Linked DNA regions of Tribolium castaneum. The protein of the gene in region 1 purifies or fractionates together with the protein of each later gene. This does not show direct contact. Links are inferred from orthologs where the notes say so. Each region holds a gene or a part of one and is shown in the gene's direction. Other genes may lie near its edges. The genes, in order: akirin and Prosalpha5.

Region 1 (4,453 bases):
ACCTGAGCTTGAACATGTCCGAAGCAATAAAGAACCATCCGTTGCACCTCCAATCCATTTGGAAGACGAAAAACTACATCTTGTACTATTACATAATGCTTATATCGCGTAAAGAGAATCTCATAATGGACCCGAACATGAGCTTTTCGAAAATAATCATGTTATTTTATTTTATAATGCAACACAAGCCGCTATTCGAATGTCTGAAGATTTTGCACACTCAGCAGTTGAGTTTGGTACCGGGGAAAATGACTGAGCCGTTGACCTGTATTATTAGAGATTTATACAAAAGACCAAGAAGTCTGAAACAGATCTGCCGCGTTAAAATACACAACTGTCTCGGGCGCAGACCGGGACTCTACATTAACAAACTGAATCTGCCCAATCAGCTGAAAGATTATTTGTTGAACTTTGAACCGTAGATCAAGGTGACTCGAAGTCGTTCAGGATTTCTTCTAATATCGGTTTAGAATTAAGTGGCGATGTCTAAATGTGACCCTTAGCCCAGTGTTGAATATTGTTTCTTTCTCGCTCGAAATCATGAAAATACTCGTCGCAAGTCAATTATCAAAACGTATCATTGTTTGACTTGTTTCTGGCGCTAGCTGTGATATGTTAAAAAATCCTGGACGCGCTTCAGCCGTTGCTAGTTTTTAAGGGAGATAATATACTTGTGATTTCTTGTTAAAATTTCTAAATTCTAGTAATCGTAAGTGTTCAGTTGAACGGTACAATGGGGTCGACTAAAAGCAAGGATGTTGTAGAACTACGACTTATGATATCTTAATACGCTTTTGAGCTGTGTTCGTGTTGAACAGGGTTTTGTGCAGATTAGACAGTTTTTAAATGAACCACTCACATTGTTGTTTATTCCGTGCCTCTTACGTTTGAAACACACTGCACACAGACGTGTGCGAACGGTTTTTGGTTCCGTCACCGGTTTTTCTTTGACAATAATATTTAGCTTGGTTTGTTGTAGGAATCTGGCAAAGTCCTATGCTATACAAAATATCAGCTCTGTACATTTTAATATATATGCCAAATATTATTAAGAGCTAAGTATAATATATAAATTGGATAGTATATTTTATGTTAAGATTTAAGATTATGTGATTTTATTGTTGAGGCATATTGGTATCATATTTGGATAAAAAGTATTTAATAAAAAAATGTCTATATTACACGGATTTGCTTTCTTTCAGCCCTCAGTTAAGATTAGTATCTTTAAAAACTGATTATTTTTAAACACTGGACTTTATTTTTGCATAGTTTTTTTTTTGCCGAACGCACTTTTTTGATTCACTACCCCCTACCCCCAGGTGTTGCGCCACCACTGGCAAGAAACAAGTAACAATTCGGTTCTTTTCAAAGCAAAAGCAACAGTAACGTGCCTAAAAATGGCATAAGGTAGCAAGCGATTTCATGATACATTCGTTTTAGCCGTTGTTAGACGGAAATTTGCGTAATTGCCTTTAAATTAGCCCAATTAATTTTGAAAAAACGCGAAGATCTTTGGTCCCGGGAGATGTCGCCAGGGTACAAAGCATGCGCAGAGTCGCGCAAGCCAATGGTAACCGTATATTCATCACAGCCCACTCTGCCGTTCACAAAATGTCACTTCTCTTATTTCGTTTCGCCATATTGGTCGTTGGGTGCGCATGAAATCGTCGACCATTCCCCTTTCATGGACAAGTTTCGGGGTAAAAGTACCGCTGCATAAGTGTCCAAGTGCAATTTCGGTTTTGTACATAGCAAATTCGCGATAGCCTGTGAAACAAAGTTTGTTTTGTGTGTGAAGTGTTAGCGACAGAACTAAAAATGGCGTGCGCTACTCTGAAACGTTCCTTGGATTGGGAGCCCGTGCTGGGGGGCCGTCCGGCCAAACGCAGGCGCTGCATTCCCTTCTGCGAGAGCCCCACGCACAGAGACAGGGCTTCGCCTCCGGCCACCTCCTCCTCCCCCAAGCCCAAGTCCGTCTTTCCCGATGTCGTCAGCCAAAAATTGACCCCTGGTAAGTGGACAGGGCCGGCCTAAGGGCCTTTGCGGTTGTTGACACTCGGTCTCAGCTGATCGCCGATAAAGGAATGACGTCCGAGGGACTTTTTACAGGACCGATTTTAATTCCGTGTTAATTGCTTATCTTGCTCGAATTCGTTGGAGCATCGTGATTTTAGAAATTGAGGTTATCCGCTCGTGTTATCTCAACGTTTTTAGGTTATTTTTGCCGATTTAACCAAATCTGGGTGCGGGTATATTGATTTTGGAGCGGAGGGGAGCGAGGACATTAAATTTTATAATTGGGGCTTACAGGCTCTCACGCTTTGGATGCCTGGATTCGATTAGAGTTTTATGGGAAATTTCATGACCGATCGAGGAATACATAAATCTTCCATGATTTGAGTCATAATTTTTTCATAGCTAACTGTAATAATGAAAGATACTTAAGATTTTATTGTGATATTTAGAAGCTTGAAGATAAAACTTAAGTTGAGCTTGTACCAACATGACTTCCTAGATTGTGAGCCACGTTAAAAACGCACGTATTTTTTTGTCATTCTATTTCCACTTTTTTTGAGCCGACAAATTTCACTAAATAACGAAATTGGTGGTACGAGTATATTTTTTTAAGAGAAATGCCAGATCACAAAGGATTATCTTTTCAGCCCTCAGTTAAGATTAGTATCTTTAAAAACTGATTATTTTTAAACACTGGACATTTATTAACCTTTATTTTTGCATAGTTTTAGTTTTTTTTTGACGAACGTATTTTTTTGATTCACTACCTCCTACCCCCAGGAGTTGCGCCACCACTGGCAAGAAACAAATAACAATTCGGTTCTTTTCAAAGCAAAAGCAATTTATATTTTTTTAGGGGAAATGCCGGATTACAAAGGATTATCTTTTCACTAAAATAAACTTCAAACAACTTGACATCAAATAATTATTATTTTTCGTATTATTGGTAACATGGTGACTATTTTTAGAGTTAAAAAAAGTCTCTGTAGAAAGAATGTTGTACCATTTTTTTAATAAAATTTATTTTCATTACCTGTTTTATGTTAGAGCGTGCTTAAAAGCTTTTTTAATGAAGTCATTAAAGCTTATACATGTTCTCTTGAAAACAAAATATATTGACCTCATATTTTGTATCAGCTCGTAAAGCTCGTTTCAGACATGCTTGAACAAAATTTAATTTGTAACACAGTTACAAATTAAATTTTTCTATCATCTTGTTTGAATCACATATAAATGAAGTTATAAATTGTGTTAACACTTTTGTTAGTATGATTCTGATTTAGTTATTATCTTTATTAAATGCTGATGCGTACAATTTTTCGATTTTTTATATAGGATGGTAAAATAATCTAGTAATAAAACAAAAGTAAATACAACAATAATTTTATTAGAAACATTAATCGATTTGATTAGTATTTTCATTGTCATCATTCATTTACCTTTTTTGTTGTTGAACTGTTATAAAATAATTTGTGCCAAGAAAGATTAAACAAATAAACAATACGTTAATTGTTTTGTGTATGCGTAAGTATCTGAACATAATATGAAAATAAGGGGATAGGGGAAAACACCAGTTTTAAATTGAATCATTTTTGGAGGGAACGTAAAAATTTACAAGAATTATACTACTTAAAGTCAGCTTATTAGGAAGCATTACTACGAAAGAGATGTCAAAGACCTTTTCTGTGAAAATATTAAGTCGCAGGTATAAAGGTGCTGTTTGAAAATCAATGTGTTATGGAATGGTTTTCTTGTTTTTTTTTGTAATTAATTAATATATTGTTTTTTGAATGTATGATAATGTCTTAGGCTGAGCATAAACCTAACAATTGTTTAAAATTCAAAAAAACTATTTGTTGTTTTCTAAATTGTACTGGATTTCGAACTTTATATTTTATATCAGTTGCTACGGTTGAAATAAATCCATTGTAAACACACATTTTGTTGTTTTATTTATTTAAAATTTAAATAATAGTACGAAATATAAGTAATAATTTAGTAAATTTTAAAATTAAATACATATACAGTTTTGTTTGGATTTAAAGACCAATGATTTCGATGTTTTGTCCGAAATCTGACTTCCTGGAAAAATATTCCCATTTATCTTATCAGCATTATTTGAGAGTTTGGGTTTAGGATGCTTTTACTGCCCGTAATCTGGTAATTTTTCGAAGCACTTGGTAATGGTAGTTGGTCGTAAAGGGATAAGAGATGGGTAAAAGCTCATCCCGACTTAGAAGGACACCTGTGTCTAGATTCGCGGATAGTGACGTTGTGGCTGTGTCTCTAGGGTTTTTTCTGAAAATTTTACGGCTTTGTAAATTGAATTAAATGTGCCACTGCGTGACTGGTGGGTCATAAGCATAAAATGTTGCTTTGTTGTTGAAATTTATGTGTCTAATAACACGAAACAGGCGATGCTAATACGTTAAAATGT
Region 2 (3,363 bases), on another chromosome or scaffold:
AGGTTCTCTAATTTCAGACAAATTCAGTATTGAAGTAAAACAATTTTCACTTTCTTTTCCTAGTCTGTGGATATTGATTAATAAAACACCAGAGTTGATTAATAGATCTTTATCGCTTTGTAGCACTTTTAAATAATCTTCATTACTACAGAAAGACGATATGACTTGCACAAGCTGCGATATCTCATAAGCTTCCAAACTTGAATCTTTATTTTGAACTGTTTGAAAAATAATATTACCAGACGCTACAAATTGGTTAGTTAACACTTTTAAACCCGTTACTGGTATATTTAATGCCTCTCCTTTAATCTGTTTATCTCTGATTACGCCCAACACTGCTGCCCTCTTATTAATCTCAAATTTTAAGTAATAATTCCAAAAATTACAATCACTTATTAGTTTTTCTAACATGAAGTACAAATATTCTACACTATTGTGAGAGTCGTAAAGTTCAAGGAGAAAAGAATACGTGTCAAAATCCATGTTCAATTCCTTGTATAAAGACATGTTATATAAAAGGGCAGACGTTTCGTAAATGTTTTTCTTGTCTTTCAAGAGTGAAAGTATTGTAGGATAAAACACATCATATACTCTATCCACAGCACTTTTATTTGATATTATTAAATTAAACAAAAATTGTAAAATAATTTGGAATGCATTTTGTATCACTTCAGACTGTAAGTTCATAAAATTGGACACATTCGGTAGAAAATTTTCGTCATTAACTAAATAATTTTGAACGTCTGAATTTATAACATAATTCCTTAGACTCCTAAACAATTCTTTTATGATTCCTTCATGATTTTTGCTTAGGCTTTGCTCAGAAAGTGTCTTTAAAATTTTATGTAGCAAATCCACAGCTTGAGTTGAAAATTCAATCCTGAAAAACTAAATCTTCCAAATTTTTCTTAATAAGGACAAAACTTACTTTAGGGGGACACCTGTCTCGTCCTTTTCCAGCCTAAATTCTTTCTTTAAGTAAAGTTCAAGAGCGGAATAATCATTCTGCTGCAGGTATTCATCGACAGTTTCCAGTTTTACGGATATTGGTCTAAACATAATTTATTTTCACGTCGAAAAAGCTCACAATTTTTATACTATTTTGGCTAATTTTTAAAGGTTAGGTGTCAAATTTGAAAATCAAGCACCAACCCTACGTTAAAAAAGGTTCTAAAGAGCCAGATAATATGTAAAAGGACCTTTGTTTTTTGCTCTTGTGCAATCCCAAACACGTTTTTACAATACAGTGTTTGAATTGAAGGATAACTTAGATTTTAAAATAATAAGAATTAATTTCTCATAATTTAAAATATCATTATTGTAGCATTGGCGACACTGACTTGGTGAGAAAATCGTGTTTTGGTTTGTCATCGTCGGCTTTTTCCTGAATTTAGAAAAATTTGAATTAATCCAATTATAAAGGTAATTTTTACTTATAACTTATGTTTTTTATTAATGTTCTTACATAACTAATGGTTTAGTCCGATTTTGACTGCATTTATTGCATGCAGAGTCATTTTTTGTGACATAACCTCACAAAAACTTTTAGATGTTCCTCACAAGAAGTGAATATGACCGAGGTGTGAACACTTTTTCACCTGAAGGTCGCCTTTTCCAAGTGGAATATGCTATCGAAGCTATCAAATTGGGTTCCACCGCTATTGGAATATGCACTAGTGAGGGGGTTGTGTTGGCGGTAGAGAAGCGCATAACTTCCCCATTAATGGAGCCCACAACAATAGAAAAAATTGTAGAAGTTGATAAACATATTGGTTGTGCCGTGTCTGGCCTTATGGCAGACTCTAGAACAATGATTGATAGGTAAATAATAAAAAAAATAAAAAAATGTAGTTGATCAAAATTATGCCAGGGCACGTGTGGAATGCCAAAACCATTGGTTTGTCTACAACGAAAACATGAGTGTGGAATCTTGTGCCCAAGCTGTGTCGAATCTAGCGATTCAATTTGGCGATTCTGACGATGATGGTGCAGCAATGTCAAGGCCATTTGGTGTTGCCATTTTGTTTGCTGGGATTGACGAAAAGGGGCCCCAGTTGTACCATATGGATCCCTCTGGTTGGTTTTAATAATTATGTTAATCTAAGTTTTTTATTTTTTCACTATAGGTACATTCGTTCAGTTTGATGCCAAGGCGATTGGATCTGGTTCAGAAGGGGCTCAGCAAAGCTTGCAGGAGGTCTACCACCGCAGTATGACACTAAGTGAAGCAACAACAGCGGCACTAACAATTCTTAAGCAAGTGATGGAAGAGAAATTGAATTCTTCAAATGTTGAAGTCATGACAATGACTCCTGGTGCACTGTTTCATATGTTTAGTAAGGAACAGGTGGAGGAGGTAATTTCTAAAATATCATAATTTATATCAAAGGCAGGAGGTTGCTCGTTTTTATTTTACAAGCTGTTTTATTTTTCTATACCAGTATAACTACATTTTTACTGTTTTTCCATCAAAACGATGTTCTCTGCTAACAACATATTTAAATATCGTTATTATTCACTCTACTGGAACAATAAATAATTAAGAAGAAAATCATTACGTTTATGCTTACCACACCTGCTTCCTGGACCTTTTTTCCTAACCCTCATAACTATCGCTAATTACTCTAATTAGTGATGCATAGCGAAATTACCGTAACTAGACACATTTTCATTTTATCCAAGGAGATTCAGATAGTGGATAAAAGGTGGAACCCACATCTTTTTTCAGGTTTTGCTTCTGTCCGTCATACCCAATAATTATTTTTACAGTTGAGCGGCCTTACAGCATAATTAATTAATCAAGCTAATCAAAAAGTTTGCTAATAATTTGATCTTGCCTTTATTCACTTATTTAAAACAACCATAATAATTTAAATAAGAATCCAGACCAAATCTTCATTGTGAGTAAATTTAGAAGAAGAGTTTTTTAAACTTTATTAAAATAGATTTGCATACTATTACAGTTAACGACCAAATGTTATTTAAAGAAACTGTAAGAATGTTATGTCGACAATAATTTCTTAAGTATGTCATAATAAAGTGACAAAAAAGTCGATTTATAAGTAAGTTTGAGTAAAAATTTAAATGGCATTTATCCGGTGAAATGACTTTCAAAAAAATTATTCACATACATAATAGTTTTTAATTTGTGTTATTAAAAGTTGCAACTATTAATTTATTTTTATTGCTGATTAGGTTTACGTAGTTATTCTTTTTACGATATCTAAAATATAATTATTGCTTTGTTCGTTTCTCTTTCTATAACATTGTGCATGTTTTTTCTTTATTAATACAAAATCATTGACAAAAAGTTCTTACAGTCGTAAGTAATTTGAAAAGTAAGATTTTTAATGTTGAAAAAGA

What was found.
Region 2: the proteins of akirin (region 1) and Prosalpha5 purify together in Homo sapiens (affinity purification with mass spectrometry; 3 studies listed by BioGRID and IntAct, with this or other methods). This does not show direct contact. The link is inferred for Tribolium castaneum from reciprocal best matches to the Homo sapiens genes AKIRIN2 and PSMA5.

The regions. Positions count from the first base shown.
Region 1 is NC_087398.1:5,661,428-5,665,880, reverse strand, and holds the start of akirin (akirin), read left to right. Parts: upstream 1-1,573; 5' UTR 1,574-1,818; coding exon 1,819-2,011; intron 2,012-4,453. Other genes in the region: ankyrin-3, read left to right, coding at 1-422. UniProt on the Homo sapiens protein: Molecular adapter that acts as a bridge between a variety of multiprotein complexes, and which is involved in embryonic development, immunity, myogenesis and brain development.
Region 2 is NC_087396.1:10,900,689-10,904,051, reverse strand, and holds Prosalpha5 (proteasome subunit alpha type-5), read left to right. Parts: upstream 1-1,306; 5' UTR 1,307-1,422; intron 1,423-1,481; exon of another isoform or gene 1,482-1,549; coding exon 1,550-1,821; intron 1,822-1,870; coding exon 1,871-2,076; intron 2,077-2,126; coding exon 2,127-2,377; 3' UTR 2,378-2,554; downstream 2,555-3,363. UniProt on the Homo sapiens protein: Component of the 20S core proteasome complex involved in the proteolytic degradation of most intracellular proteins. This complex plays numerous essential roles within the cell by associating with different regulatory particles.